Linked DNA regions of Macaca mulatta. Each later gene encodes a partner of the first gene's protein in a complex. Links are inferred from orthologs where the notes say so. Each region holds a gene or a part of one and is shown in the gene's direction. Other genes may lie near its edges.

What was found.
Region 2: the proteins of ITSN1 (region 1) and FCHSD2 are in contact, whole or in part, in a crystal structure (PDB 6GBU), measured with the Homo sapiens proteins. The link is inferred for Macaca mulatta from reciprocal best matches to the Homo sapiens genes ITSN1 and FCHSD2. Residues at the interface, in NP_003015.2 of Homo sapiens: Pro1076, Ile1078, Gly1098, Leu1100, Leu1102, Gln1117, Ala1118, Arg1119, Gly1120, Lys1121, Lys1122, Arg1123, Leu1136, Ser1137, Pro1138; in NP_055639.2 of Homo sapiens: Tyr576, Gln581, Thr582, Asp584, Glu585, Gln602, Asp603, Asp604, Asp605, Gly606, Phe607, Val618, Pro620, Val622, Leu623.

What each region holds. Positions count from the first base shown.
Region 1 is NC_133408.1:13,589,602-13,597,624, reverse strand, and holds part of ITSN1 (intersectin-1), read left to right. Parts: intron 1-167; coding exon 168-295; intron 296-3,276; coding exon 3,277-3,506; intron 3,507-5,701; coding exon 5,702-5,823; intron 5,824-8,023. UniProt on the Homo sapiens protein: Adapter protein that provides a link between the endocytic membrane traffic and the actin assembly machinery. Acts as a guanine nucleotide exchange factor (GEF) for CDC42, and thereby stimulates actin nucleation mediated by WASL and the ARP2/3 complex.
Region 2 is NC_133419.1:73,179,041-73,187,063, reverse strand, and holds part of FCHSD2 (F-BAR and double SH3 domains protein 2), read left to right. Parts: intron 1-2,593; coding exon 2,594-2,677; intron 2,678-2,799; coding exon 2,800-2,977; intron 2,978-3,282; coding exon 3,283-3,503; intron 3,504-4,531; coding exon 4,532-4,661; intron 4,662-5,201; coding exon 5,202-5,284; intron 5,285-7,294; coding exon 7,295-7,378; 3' UTR 7,379-8,023. UniProt on the Homo sapiens protein: Adapter protein that plays a role in endocytosis via clathrin-coated pits. Contributes to the internalization of cell surface receptors, such as integrin ITGB1 and transferrin receptor.

The sequences.
Region 1 (8,023 bases):
TGTCAAAATGTGGTGTGATTTTAGCTTTCCAAGTTGACTTTTTCCAACTCTGAAACATTATCTCCTAAGTGTCCTAGGCTTCCCACTATGAAATGTTGCATGCTGATAAATAGTTGATGTATTTGTCACTCATGTCGCTACATGAGCTGTTTCTCGGTTAATTATAGGAACTAAGAGAAATACATAATAAGCAGCAACTCCAGAAGCAAAAGTCGATGGAGGCTGAACGACTGAAACAGAAAGAACAAGAGCGAAAGATCATAGAATTAGAAAAACAAAAAGAAGAAGCCCAAAGGTGAGTCTTCTTTGGATTATGGACTCATCTGGAAGGAACTTTGAGGATTTACTATTCTTTGCCTGGCTTCTCCAAGTACTTACTGCACCAGAAAGAGCTTTCAGTCTTTAGTGTGCGTGTGAAGTGTGAGTGCAAACACAAACATGTGTATATATAAATCTTTGCATATATCAGTACCCCCTGAAGTTTTTGGTTAGTTCCCAGAGCTCTCTAAGCTACTACTATGTAGATAAATGGAATTATACAAGGAAATTGGGACACTTGGTGTGCTCATTTGCATGTTAATGGCCAAAATAACATTTCTAGTTCACAGCCTTTTACTAACAGCTAACAGGGGTTGGAATGCCTGGTTTAAAATCTAAGCCACTGAGCTAGTGCCCCACACAGGGCTTCTCCAGCAGGGTCAGGGTGGGCCCCTCTGTTTCCCTTCTGTTTTTCAACTGCAAATTAAACTTTAGTACAAAAGGGGGAAATTTGCTGCTTAGTGCGTAGGATACAGACATGTTTGTATCTGTTTTTGAAGATTTGTGTTTGTGATGTTTTTATTTTTACTTGTAACTTACTGTGGTAAATTGTAGAAATTTGTGTCTGATTTTGTTACTGGGTATTTGCCTTTTAAATGTCAGTTAATTTTAGACTCCACAAAACAAAAATGACCAAATGTCCCAATGACAGCCTGTAAATTATAAAAGTTGGTAATTGAAATTAGATTAAGGCCAGGCACAGTGGCTCACGCCTGTAATCCCAGCACTTTGGGAGGCCAAGGTGGGCGGATCACAAGGTCAAGATATTAGGACCATCCTGGCCAACATGGTGAAACCCCGTTTCTACTAAAAATACAAAAATTTAGCTGGGCACAGTGGCACGTGCCTGTAGTCCCAGCTACTTGGGAGGCTGAGGCAGGAGGATCACTTGAACCCAGGAGTCGGAGGTTGCAGTGAGCTGAAATCATGCCACTGTACTCTAGCCTGGCAACAGAGAGAAACTCTATCTCAAAAATAGAAAAAGAAAAGAAAAAGAAATTAGATTAAAAAGACGACGAAATGGATACTTGAGACAAGTCGTAAGTCGTTAACTTTAGTGGGCTGAGTTCAGTTAACCTGCGGAGAGCTGTGCCTACTTTCTTATGGGTATGTAGAGTCGTCTGTTTGTTTTTCAGTGCCAGTGGGGAGGTATCTGGGGTCCCAAACCAATTTACATGATTGTTTTATGGTTTTCTTGGAGGTCAGACTAAGGGTCTCCTCCTTGGATGTACTGATTAATTCCATCCTTTTCTTACCTCCACAGTGTATAAAATGCTTTTATTATTCACACTATACTGCACTGAACTGTTAAATTCCTACAGAGTAGAAATAAACGTAAAATACAGAAAAATACATAAAATACATAAAATAGCATAATACAGAAAATAGCTTAATAAAATATAATATGTAATATATATTCCAATTACATAGATAAAAACTACTCCAAATTAACTTCAGAAATTAGATGGTTGTACACTATATATGGTGACCTTTATTGGTAGAAAATATAAAGTAATTTTTTTTTTTTGAGACGGAGTCTCACTCTGTCACCCAAGCTGGAGTGCAGTGGCATGATTTCAGCTCACTGCAACCTCTGCCTCCCTGGTTCAACCGACTCTCCTGCCTCAGCCTCCCAAGTAGCTGGGACTACAGGCGTGCGCTACCACGCCCAGCTAATTTTTATATTATTAGTAGAGATGAGCTTTCGCCATGTTGGTCTAGAACTCCTGGCTGGTCTAGAACTCCTGACCTGGTGATCCACCCTCCTCAGCCTCCCAAAGTGCTGGGATTACAGACGTGAGCCACCGTGCCTGGCCACTGTTTTTATTATGGTTTTTTGTTGTCATGAATAACAGTGTCCTTACCCCTCCAAAAAATGTTTTTATACTTTCCTAAAAGACATTTTAAAAATTGTAAATAAAATGTTTAAGATTTAAGTTTGAAGACTTCTGCATAAAAATTTCACATTCATACAGAGTAGCAATAAATGTAATTTTTTGACAATGGAGAATAAAAGTATAATTTGTTTCAATTATGTTCCCGTGGCAAATTCCTAATTCTAGCCAATGACCTGTGTGCGTTAGCCATGTCACAGGATGGCAGTTCAGGGTGGAGACTCTGGGACCAGGCTGCCTGGGATTGAAGCCCAGGCACATATGATTGTGTGATGTGGACAAGTCATTTAATATCTCTGCCCCAGCTTCCTTATTTGTAAAATGGGAGTAATACTAAGACTACCTACCTGATTCGCAGTTTAAAGGAGTTAATATATGGAGAGCTAGTTATTATTATATCATTTGTTATTACATATTAGTTTCATTTAAAGTATTTTCTGACTTTATAAAGTATTATAGAATGAGAAAAATCATTCTCAGTCTTTTACTGTGGGTTTCAGGTTGAGGCCATCAAAAATTACAAGGCCTAGATTTAATTACAATTATCTATTTGTGGTAGCTACTTAGAAAAACAAAATCAAAGTAGTTGAAGTCAATAAAACAATCCCTTGCTTTCAGCTTCAGGTTTGGGGAGCAACATGTATGCATGTAAATGTGTTGTACCCTTTGCTGGGGGGAAATTTTAATGATCTGATTGATCATGTACTTATTTTAAGTGATATTTCATTTACAGTGTTGGGTGTATTTTATTTTTATAGAAGTTATGTTCTCTGTGTTTTATGGCTCTGTTTGGTCAGTTTAATACCCGCTTTATTATTAAGTGTGTTTCTTATTCTTGTAACCACTTTATAAAATACATCAGAAATTTTCTGTGTTTTCCTAAATCATGTGATTTCTTCTCACTCAGAACTGAAGCCCTGATTCAGTTGCCCCGTCTGAAGAACAATGTTCCCTTGATGTTTCCCATCCCATTTACTGGATGGAGCTTTTTTTGTGAAAAGAGGCAACAGTAGTGTTAACTTAGAGCTGCTTCCTTGCTGTAATCAAGTGTGTTTGTTGGCAGACGAGCTCAGGAAAGGGACAAGCAGTGGCTGGAGCATGTGCAGCAGGAGGACGAGCATCAGCGACCAAGAAAACTCCACGAGGAGGAAAAACTGAAAAGGGAGGAGAGTATCAAAAAGAAGGATGGTGAGGAGAAAGGCAAACAGGAAGCACAAGACAAGCTGGGTCGGCTTTTCCATCAGCACCAAGAACCAGCTAAGCCAGCTGTCCAGGCACCCTGGTCCACTTCAGGTATTAGAAGCCAAAAATAATTCTAGAAAATAAGTCATCTTCTCTCCCAGATCCTCCTGAAAAACGCCCATATCTCATCAGGACCAGTCTTGGCTACATTAACAGATGAGAACATCAGTCTCTTATTTTGAGCATGGCAGCTCTTCTTTCCCCAGGGTCAGTTGAGATCTGTGTAATTCTCCCATCACCATGCCAGCCTCTGGCCCACGTTACACCGGCATCCACGAGTCCTCTACAGAGTTAACAAGTGGCGTGAAGTTCCACTGGTCGTATATGCTGCAAAAGAACCTGCTGTTTCTCTGGTTTGTTATTTCCCTCCCTGGAATTTCTGGGCTGTTTCTGCAACAGAAAGTGGCACCTTTCACCCTTGCCTCCACTGATGGGGTATTCGCTGTCTTCGGTCTGCATTGCATAGAGCTGCTTTTACTTTTTGAAAAGTGGCAGCGTTTTGTCCTTTGAACATAATTTGCTTTTTCTTTTCTTTACTTCTCTTTGCTTTTCTTTTTTCTTTGAGACAGTCTCACTCTGTCGCCTAGGCTAGAGTACAGTGGCACAGTCATAGTTCACTGCAGCCTCAAACTCTTGGGTTTAAGCAATCCTCCTGTCTTAGCCTCCCAAGGAGCTGGGACTATAGGTGTGCACCACCATGCCCAGCTAATTTTTTTTTTTGTAGAGATGGAGTTCTAACCTTGTTGCCCAGGTTGGTCTTGAACTCTTGGCCTCAGGCAATCCTCCCACCTTGGCCTTTCTGAGTACTGAAATTACAAGCATGAGCCACCATGCCTGGCCTAATTTGCCTTTTTTTTTTTAAAAAAAAAGGATAAATAAAAGACTGAACAAAAAGATAAATGAAAGACCGATCTAATTGGAATAGCTAGGAAAAGCTATCCTTTATAATAACAGATGTAAGCTAGAATGTATTTAAGATTCCTGTGTGGTTGTGTGATTGTACAGTTTTGCAAATAATGCTCAGCGGAAGCAAGTCGTTGCTTTTTCTTTGTGTGGAAAATTATACCAATTTTGCTTGGTCATCCGTGTGCTGCTTTAGTGCTGCGGTATACAGAAAGAAAAGAAAGAAAAAACACTTTCAAGCTATTCTGTAAAGGTTTACTGGTTCCCAGCTGCATAGTGGGCTGAGATGGGCGTGAGGTATGGAGATGCAGTAGGCACCTACCTGCCTTCAGATGCGTGCAGTCCAGGGGAAAGACTGGCAGGTCATCAGACCTACACAGTAGCAACCATGTCATAGGAGGGGCAAATCAATTTTTTGATAGTTTTTTTCTATCTGAAAATAATTTCACCATTGATCTTAGGCAGTTAGTTTAAGTTCTTCACGCGTCCTCCTAGTATAAAATGAAGATTTGTTTTTTCGCCTTCAGTCAGTAGGAAATCTTGCATGTCATACAGTTCAAAATCATGTGGAGATAATACTTTACCCTCATTGCTTTCTGGATAAGAGAGTTATATGTCAAAATACTTGTAGCTTTTGAGTAAAAATGCCCAAAGGTCTGTTATTAGTTGTTGCTAACCAGAATGCAAAATATCCTTTGCTCATGTGCATTTCTAAACATTTTGTTTCATTTAAAATCTAAATTATTTTCATCTAGGGTTCATCCTTAGGCTCATTATTTCCCAGAGAAATGTATAGGAAGAGTTTCTTCATTGGGGATTATCAGTATAACTGAAATCAGCACTTAGGTTTTATATGACCATGTTAAAGAGCCTAAAACATCTGCATTTTCATGTTTTGGTATGGAAACTGGTGCCTCTGTTCCCTCCCAAACAAGTTTGCTCCTTGGCTGATTCAGACTTTGGGTCGTATCCTAACTGCTACATTGTACTCAACACGCTGGGTAGGGAGGAGGGGGTATTGATGCTTTACAGATCTGCACTGCTAGAGCCCAAGCCAAGAGGCAGAGACAAGGGACCTTTAGGCAGCCTGGCTACACTCAGCCTTGGAATGACCTTTGTTTAGAGGGAGTCACCAATGAACTCTCTGATGGGTTTGAGTTGCTGACGTCAGATTTGGCTCTGCTTTGGCAGTCAGTATGTGTTTCAGAAATTCCTTGAATGGAGGGAAATAGTTCAGAGGTGAAGATAGGCAATAGAGGAGAGGTTAGTTGTTTGGCTTGTTGTCGTACATTTATGTTCTCTGTAATTATTTATTTTTGTCCCCCCACCTTTTTTGTAAACAGAAAAAGGTCCACTTACCATTTCTGCACAGGAAAACGTAAAAGTGGTATATTACCGGGCACTGTACCCCTTTGAATCCAGAAGCCATGATGAAATCACTATCCAGCCAGGAGACATAGTCATGGTAAGAAAGACTCCAGTGAGAGGGTCATTTCTGTTGAAGATTAGCCTCTGTCCTCTTGTTTCACTTTATTCAACAATTGTGAGATTGTCAGTGAGTATGAAACCCAATAATTCAGCATCTAGATTTTTAAAGTGTAAGCTCAGTCTTCTTTCTTTTTTATTAAAATGAAAGATGGCATTTAAAAAATGTATCCCAACATCACTTTAAAATTGAGTTGGTAAAGACAATGTGTTCTTATTTTTAAATCTATAAATGTCTGATAATTTCAGAGTTTAGATTACTACTTATATACTATGAGTAGAAATATATGAGTATAAATATATATGTAATACATATATTTTATATATGATGTATAGACTATATACTAGCATGCGTGTGTATATATATGTATAATATATGCTAGTGTGCATATGTACATATATATACACACACACTAGGATCCTCCAAAGTGGGAGGAGGCCAGGAGTCTTTAAGAAATAGTTATAAGTGCAGAACACCTATCATCATTCTCATAATTGCAATAACTTTTGTATCTTTGCATCAGAGCATCTTTTTTCCCTTTAATTATGTGAACTTTGAATTATGTAAAAAGAGTAATGAATTACACAGTTAATCTGCTTTCCTACTCTGAAACAGAAAATAATTTAAAATTTTACTTTGTTACTGTTTCTTTCCTTTAATTAATAACAATCTTATGATGTGACTGAAACTATAGGAACCAGTTTAAGAAAGAAAATCAAACAACATGGTTCATCTAAATCATTTTCTAAAAGAAAATAGTAGTTCCTTGTTCTAGTTACTCACTTTTAGAGTCTTAGAAGTCGTCAACTTTGCATTACTCTTAGCACTTTTTTTTTAAAAGATAATTTAGCTTTTTTTGTTGTTGTTGACACAACTTCTCACTCTGTTGCCCAGGCTGGAGTGCAGTGGCGTGATATTGGCTCACTGCAACCTCTGCCTCCCGGGCTCAAGCAAAGAGATTCTCCCACCTCATCCTCCCAAGTACCTGGAACCACAGGCGTACACCACCATGCCCAGCTAATTTTTGTATTTTCTGTAGAGACAGGGTTTCTCCGTGTTGCCCAGGCTGGTCTTGAATTGCCTGGGCTCGAACGATCCTCCCATGTCAGCCTCCCAAAATGCTGAAATTACAGGCATGAGCCACCATGCCTGGCCTAGAATTTGTAAAGAACTATGAAAGTTAACAATTGAAACAACATGTTTCTTGCCCAAGGACTGTATGTCTCTGAAGTATAAAGGGTGTTATACAGGTGATTATACTATTACTCATGCATTCATCTTGCCATATACACATCATATCTGTGGATCTTTAATAGGCTAAAATACGTAGAAATAACAGTATGTTTAGCACTTAGAGAAATCAATTCTTATGTCCCCTTTTTTCCTGATAGCGCTGTTTTCTCTGTAATTACCATGGGCTAGAAGAAGCAAGGCCAAAAATCCCAAATTATTTTTTCTTTTCTTTTCTTTTCTTTTCTTTTTTTTTTTTTTTGAGACAGAGTCTCACGCTGTCACCTAGGCTGGAGTGCAGTGGCATGATCTTGGCTCACTGCAGCCTCCACCTCCCAGGCTCAAGTGATCCTCCTGCCTCAGCCTCCTGAGTAGCTCAGAGGTGTGTGCCACCACACCCAGCTAATCTTTATTTTTTTATTTTTTTGTAGAGCTAGGGTCTCCCTATGTTGCCCAGGCTCCAGATCTTTAAAAGTTAAAATCACCTTAACAATAGTGAAAACCTCTTCAAATATACTCCATGGCTTCATTCAGCACACAGTTATTGCCTGAAACATGCTGGGTGCCAGCCTTACTCATCCTTTACAGAAAGAACTGTGGGTTTGGGCACTCCACTCTGCGCACACAGACGGTAACTCGAGCCAGCAGGGCATGTTTGTCAGCTTTCCTCTGACTTCACCACCTGCTGTTTCCTACACCGTGGTTTCTAATAGCCTGAAGCTACTTTCCCACACTGCCTCGTATTTGAAGTAGTGTATCCTGTAAAGCAGATTAATTGTAAAATATGTAAATACCATGTAATAGGAATCTAACATTTCTGAAAATACATTGTCACATCAGTGAGGACCTCATTACAATTTTTTTTAATGTTAAACAAACCAGCCTAATATTTTTGAAACTGGATTTTCTTGCAACACAAGGTGCAGAGAAGCAGCTCGCTCTCATCCTA
Region 2 (8,023 bases), on another chromosome or scaffold:
AACTACTATCTATCTATCTATTTATTTGTAATCCCTTCAGTAACCCTATGAGGAAGATATTATCAAGCACCCCATTCATTCAAGAAACAGTGCTTGAGCACTTTCCGTGTATCAGTGCTGTGGGCTTTTCTAGGCTCTGGGATATAGCATTGATCAAAATAGACAAAAATCTCTGCCCTCATGGAGCTTATATTCTAATAGAAAAAAAGAAAACTGAAGTTCAAAGGTATCTTACAGTCACTTGCCCATAAAAACATACTGAAGCCGGACTTAAACCCACAGTAATCTGAGTCTGCTCATCAGATAGGAAAGAGGGAACAGAGCCTGCTGGATGGAAGAACACTTGATAAAAGCACAGAGGCAAGGAAGAACATGATATGCTCAGAGAATAGGAATAGTGTGCAGGGGCCAAAGTGTCTAGAGGCCCACTTTGGCCCACAGGGACCAAACTGCAGGGTCGTGATTGCCACACAAAGAACTTCCACCTTGTTAGGTGGAAGAATTGGTCATCACTGCTTTAGGATGGGATGATCAAGCTAGTGTCTGCTTACATTGGACAACTAGTGCTGCAGTGTTGAAAAACTTGCACGGACCTCCATGGCTTTTTTTTTTTTTTTTTTTTTTGAGACAGGGTCTTGCTCTGTTGCCCAGGCTAGAGTGCAGTGGTGTGATCTTGGCTCACTGCAACCTCTGCCTCCCTGATTCAAGTGATCCTCCCACCTCAGCCTCCCAAATAGCTGGGATTACAGGTGCGTGCCACAACACCCACCTAGTTTTTTGTATTTTTCATAGAGACAGCGTTTTTCCATGTTGCCCAGGCCGGTCTCAAACTCCTGGCCTCAAGTGATCCACCCACCTTGGCCTCCCAAAGTGCTGGGATTACAGGCGTGAGCCACCTCACTCAGCCTCTCCATAGGTTTTTATAAGGGCAGCAGTTTATTTGAAAGTGTACTACCTCCCTGGTTTGCTATCACATACATTAACGTCTGGTTGTGTTGATACTTTCTAGGTCTTGCCATGGAAAACATTTTTATTACAAAAGTGCCTTTTGCTGGCATATCCAAGGCATAGTGTAGTTTCAGAGTAGTGAAGGAATTCCATTGGAAAAGCTATCAAGGGTAAATGAGTGGGGTTTTTTCCTTATGTTTTGAGATAAGAGTTAATTTAAAATCTGGCCTTCGAGTATTCTGTGACTGGTCAGCCATCCTCAATATAATTTTTCTGTCTCAGGGAGCTATGGCAACATCCAGAATCTGGATTTTGATGAAATGTTTTAATGTTCATAAAATGGGAAATTGATCTTGAAAATGACCCCCTTTTTTGCCTTATTTTTGTGTAACTTGGAGTTAATTTTACACTTTGAGATTTTGAGATTTTAAAAACTTTATGGTTTTAAGTGATGGTTCTAACCCATCTTGGGACTTGAGAAAAGCTTTTAAGACTGTTTTCTAGAGAGCCAGAAGACAGCAGGCCCCTGCCTATTACACGTGACAGGCAAGGCTGTTAGGAAGCAAAGCCACATGGACTTTCCAGCCCCTCTGTGGAGCCTCAGAGCATTTACAGATTTGGCAGTCTCAAGGGCAACATGTGGGTGGCTGATGCTGGTGGACTGCTATTGTCAGGGATAAAAAAGAAAACCATTATGGTTAGCAGCTTGTGCAGTAGCACGCAAGTGGATCAGCTCAGTCTCCACACCGTTAAGTTGGAACATAAGAAATCCAAACCATGACTGATCTCAATCATTTCCTTTCCTACAATTTTCTTCTTTTAGCCACTGCTTTACAGTGTTTCCAGATCAATCCTAGGCACTGCACCCACTGTCATCAAATTCATGTACATAGTTCTTTGCATTTTCACTGCATGCTTGTCCATGGGAGCCCTCTGGTAGCAGTTCCAACTCAGTGCCTTCTCCTTTGCTTTTGCTTCCCAAATCATCACACTTCTGTGCTTATTCATCCCACATTGACTCACATCCTCCAGAAAATGGCAGGATTGTCATTTCAAAGAAATGGAGGCATCAAGTTGAATAACTTGATACAGAAGCTGGAGTTGGAACCCAGGTCCTCTACTTCCAGGAAGTGCTCTCTTTTTTTGTTTGTTCGTTTTTTTAGAGACAGGGTCTCGCTCTGTTGCCCAGGCTGGAGTGCAGTGGCATGCTCATGGCTCACTGCAGCCTCAACCTCCCAGGCTCAAGCGATCCTCCCACCTCAGCCTCCCGAGTAGCTGTGACTACAGGCACATTCCACCATGTCTGACTAATTTTATTTATTTATTTATTTATTTATTTATTTATTTATTTATTGGTAGAGATGGGGATCTTGCTGTGTTGCCCAGGCTCACATGTTCTGTTCATTGAACCTCATTGCCTCTTGAGGATTCAGTTTCTTCGGTTTTTGTTACGGTTTTATTCTGTTTAGTTTTTTAAAGTAAAACTTCACCTCATTATGAAAGTTTTACAGCATTTAAATTTTTATGTTCAACATGTTTCTCAATATCATTTCAATATTTTGATCCCCAGTTTTTGTCATGATCAGCCCACATCTGCTCCTTATCTAACCTTTTTAATTTTGTCCATGACCATCCTACATTGCAGGCTTCTCAACCAGATGAGTTGACCATTGAGGAACATGAGGTGTTAGAAGTGATTGAAGATGGAGATATGGAAGACTGGGTAAAGGTATATTCCTTTGCTCATATCGCCCCTTCTTGTGACATTTTTAGGAGTTCGTTTTGGTCTTTGTTGTACCCTGTCTAAATTGTGTGTGTGTAAACTTGTTTTGTCACATGTCTTTTACCCAGGCTCGAAATAAAGTTGGCCAAGTGGGTTATGTGCCAGAAAAGTACCTACAGTTTCCCACCTCAAACAGCCTCCTGAGCATGCTGCAGTCCCTGGCCACTTTGGACAGTCGGTCACACACGTCCAGCAATTCCACGGAAGCAGAACTCGTTTCAGGCAGCCTCAACGGAGATGCCAGTGGTAAAGACTGAAACAAGGCACTCTTTATTTGGTCACATTTGACCTAAACTGTATTGCCCTGGAGTAAGCCTTCACTAGGATAAAAAGCACAACTTTCCCCCTGTCCTATAATATGCTCTTCTTTATATGGTCACATTTGTCCTGCACAGTAGAACCCTAAAATTAATCATCCGTGAGTAAAAAAATTACAACTTTAATCCTATTCTGTATGATGCTGTTTTAGTTGTCATGTGAGCATAGGGGTGGTTGCAGAAGCAACCGGCTGTTAATTATCTTACCAGATTTGTTTTTCTCTTGCTCCCTAGTCTGTTTTGTGAAAGCACTTTATGATTATGAGGGCCAGACAGATGATGAGTTATCTTTTCCTGAGGGAGCAATAATCCGTATCTTGAACAAAGAAAACCAAGACGACGATGGCTTCTGGGAAGGGGAATTCAATGGGCGTATTGGAGTTTTCCCATCCGTGCTAGTGGAAGAACTTTCAGCCTCAGAAAATGGTGACACTCCATGGATGAGAGAGATTCAGGTACCTAAGAGGGGAGCTGGTTGAATTAAAAGATGTTTAAAGAAAATTGCTCCCAAGGGGTCTGTGAATTCACACAAAAGTGGGCTGCAGTCTCTGCCTTACCCTCACCGGTCCTTGGTTGCCAGTGTCTGCACAACTGAATTTGGGAAACCAGAGACTTCTCAGTCAGTCCCTTGTGGAATATGGCCATCCTCCCACACCTCCATCTTCCCACATTCTCTTCCCTGCATCGGTTAACCAAAATGCCAAATTATATGTGACATATCAAAGATCATTTAGGTGGAGAAAAACAAACCGAAGAGGGAAGGTATTGCTCTGTGGTTAATTTACGTAGTAAAACTCTTAGCTGGCTCGCTCTCTCCCTCACTGTCAGAGCCTCCTTGCCTAGTCCAGGTCCTGCCAATCTATTTCAGAGAACTAATGAGCCTGCCAGAGCCCCCAGTCCCCACTCAAGTGATCCTAGACTTAGTTTATCACAGGGGAACAGCCTTTAAAGGAACCTCTAATTCAGTCAGAGTTCAGTTTGTCCCCTCAGGGATCTATCATTGCGGGCCAGACAGGTAGAGGAAGAAGGAACATGTTTGCCAATTTTGTTTGCATGGTGATTGTGACCCTTAGCCTAACATGCACAAAACCTGGGGAAGTCAGAAATTCATCAAGGTATTTTATCTTCACCCCAAAAAATCCAATTTGTTCCTTTTGTTGCTGGTGTTCTTTGCTAAGTTTACTGAATTGACTAATTTGGTACATTTTCAATAGAACCCTAGAGAGTGGCATCACTTGATAACTGTTTAAGACAAACTAAAATCAGTAATGTGATGAGATCTGTAAGAGGAAAAAGTGAAGTGCAATGCAAAATTGGGGCTTGAGGTGGTTATTTAATGCTCAGTTGCCTCTAATGAGGTTGACAAGTTTCAGTAGTCAGCTTAGCTTCAGAGAAAAGGGATGTGTACAGAGCAGTCAAAGCAGCAGCCAGGCTGTCCTTCCTGGGCAGAAGCACCAGGTAACCTCACTTCCCTTTGCTGCAGATCTCTCCTTCCCCCAAGCCACACGCCTCCCTGCCTCCACTGCCGTTGTATGACCAGCCTCCCAGCAGCCCCTACCCCAGCCCAGATAAGAGGAGCTCCCTGTACTTTCCCCGGTCTCCTTCAGCAAACGGTAAGGGTTCTCCTGGGCATGGATCTAAATGCATTTTCACTTCAGAAATCTGCATATTCGCCTGAAGGGCAAACAAAACTGCATTTGCTTTTTTTTCTTTTTTTTGGAGACAGAGTCTCACTCTGTCACCCAGGCTGGACACCCAGGCTGGAGTTCAGTGGCATGAGTTCAGGCTGGACACCCAGGCTGGAGTTCAGTAGGCTCACAGCTTAACCAAGTGGCTCAAGTGATAACTAACTCCTAGGCTCAAGTGATCCTCTGCCTCAGCCTCCCTAGTAGCTAGGAGTACAGGCATGCACTACCACACACAGCTAATTTTTGTATTTTTTGTGGAGAAAGGGTATTATTCTGTCACTCAGCCTGGAGTGCAGTGGCAGGATCATAGCTCACTGCAGCCTTGAACTCCTGGCCTCAAGTAATCCTCCTGCCTCAGTATCCCAAAGTGCTGGGATTACAAGCTCGAGCCACAATGCCAGCCTTGCATCAGCATTTTTATTCAACAACTCAAGTAAAATGAGCTTCTTTGGTTTTCTCCCGTAGAAAACAGCCTTCATGCTGAGTCACCAGGATTCTCTCAGGCATCAAGGCATACGCCTGAGACCTCACATGGCAAACTGCGACCTGTAAGTCTCTTATCTTGCAGGATTATAGAATGCATAATTCTTCCAAATTGAAAGGAAGGAATTAATGTTTCCCTGTGGCCCCTATATTGTCACTGACTCTGCCAAACAAGGATGAACTGGGTTTGGGAAGGTAAAAAGAGCTATTGAAAAGGAAGGCCATAGAAATCAACTCATCTTGGAACATTTAATCTACACTAGAACTTTTTTCACTGAGCCACAGTGAGATTGCAAGATGATGGCTATGAAAGTGTATTTAGATTAGAACAAGCTTTATGAGCATTAAAGTGGGCTAATTGTGAAACACTTTTTTGAGTAAACATTTAATTTTCCAGGCCTTTGTTTGCCTCTTTGAGGAATACTGAGATGAAATAATAAGCTAACTTCATGGCCTTAAAGAGCGTTTATTCTCCGGGTGAATATATTATAGCAAAGTTACCTCTGTCTTCACCCTTCACTCTACTGCCATCTGCATTCCACCCACCACTGTACTCCAAGATCATGACTTGCACATTGGTAATCCAGTTGGATACTTTGCAATTTTGTTTTCCTTGACCCCATTAGCTTTTGATACCATTCCTTTACCACTGGCTTCCTTTGGCTTCATTCATTCAGCAAATATGTATTGAGTGCCTTCTTAAGGACTTGAGTCTTTATCCCAAATGAGATAGGAAGCCATTGTAAAGTGGTAAGCTGGACAGTGTTGTGGCTGGTGCATTTTTATAGCATCGCTATGGCAGCTAAGTGGAGGATGGATGGAGGCTGGCAGAAAGGACCTAGAGAGCAATTAGGAGATTGGGGCAGCATCGAAGAAAGAGGTGGTGGCAGCATGGACTGGTGGGTAAGAGTAGGAACAGAGAGCAGTGGACTGATGTGCTTCTCTACCACATTTGCCTCGTTTGCTTTCTTCCTCTCTGGTCCTACCTTTCTGTGGACCTTTGCAGCCTTGCCTCCACCTGCCTCTGCTGATACTTCTCATTGTTCTGTCCCTGGGCTGCTTCTCTTGAAGTTGTTGAAAGCACTCTTACCAAATGACCTCATCTACTTCCACAGCTATGATAACCATTTATATACCAGCAAGTTTCAGATTTGTAACTGCCAATCCGATCCCTTCACTGAGCTTCAGATTTGTGGATGTCTCTGTTTATATATCCCAGATCCCCAAAACTCAGCAAAAATGAGTTGTGTTCCCTCCCAGACATGTTCCTTTTTCCATATTGCCTATCTTGGTAAATGGAACCCCCATCCTACTGGTGTTCTGGCATCATTCTTAATACCTCCCACCCCTGCCTCCCACAGTCATTCCGAAATCCTGCCAGATATACCTTGCAGACAGCTTGCAAATCTTTACACTTCTCTACTTCCCCTACTGCCAGTACCCTTGTTTGGGCTATTGTCAACTCTCATTCAGAGGACTACAAAAGTTTCCTAAGTTGCCTTCTTACCTGGACTCTTGCTTGCCTCTGATCTTTTCTCTAATTGTTACCTGAGTCATCTTTTCACAGATCTGATATTGCTTAAAATCCATCAAAAACTCCTCTTTTGCCTACAGAATAAAGCACAGATTTTTTTCTTCTTAAAGCAGATGTTTAAACATGGTTTAACAAGGCCCTTCACGACTTAACCCCAGCCTACCTTTCTAGCCTTACCTTTTGTAACTCTCTTCCCAAGATATGCTGAAATGTTTCATTTCTCTAAGCATTGCTCTCCCTTGCTTCCAACCAGACCTTTGCTTTGGAGGATGTGCTACGATCTTAGTCATGCGACTCTTGTGCCGCCCATGAGGTTTTTAGCCTAGACAAGAGGCTGATTTGTGGGCTTGATATTTCACTGAGAACAACTGCTTCTCAGTGTAGGAAATAGCGAAGACTAGGTTGAAAGCATGTGCTCACAACATTTCTGAGACCCCTAGGGTGCCCACGTCCTTGGACAGATGAGTGATTAGGTTTTGGGGATGCTTCAGATACTGAGTCAGGAACTGACTGACAATCTACCTAACTGTTTCCTGCTCAGGTCCGGGCAGCTCCCCCTCCACCTATGCAGAATCACCGAAGGCCAGCAGAGAAGATTGAAGATGTGGAAATCACACTGGTGTGATGATGGGCTTGCCCATCCATTACTGCTACAATCAAGGCCAGGCTTGGAGTTTGGCCAGTCTTGTTTTTAGGCACCTTTGCATGATGATGACTCTTGAACAGAGCAAAAACAAGGATTATTTGTGACTGGGTGACCTGGTAGACTCCTCCCACGTTTTGAATATTTCGTGCCTTTTTTTTTGTTGTCATTTTCTATGTCATTTTTCCTACCATAGCACAAATCCTAGTGGACCCTAGGAGCAAAGAGGGGGGCAGCCCTCATGCCTAACAGTGGTCTGTTTTTATATGAGACTCAAGACCAGGCCTCATTCCAGGGCACAGTCCCTAAATTACTGATCATGTGCACTCGTACAGTATATTACTGTGACCGCAAGGATGTGGCAAAGATTCTCATCTTTCTTCAAGTGGGTTTTGCTCATCTGATTGAGAATTAATCAGATCATGTTGGCTACATAAGGAAACAGAAGGAGGGATTTCAGGAGAGGCTGGCTCCTCCCCAAGGTTAGTCCCCAGACTGAGAAAAGTGAAACCTTATTGGGAAAAATTGGACTGCCCTGAATTTAGCACCAATTGCATTAACGCACATCTCTTCCACAACTAACAGACTTAAAATAACAGTGTCCTTCGTATTAATATCTGTGCCATT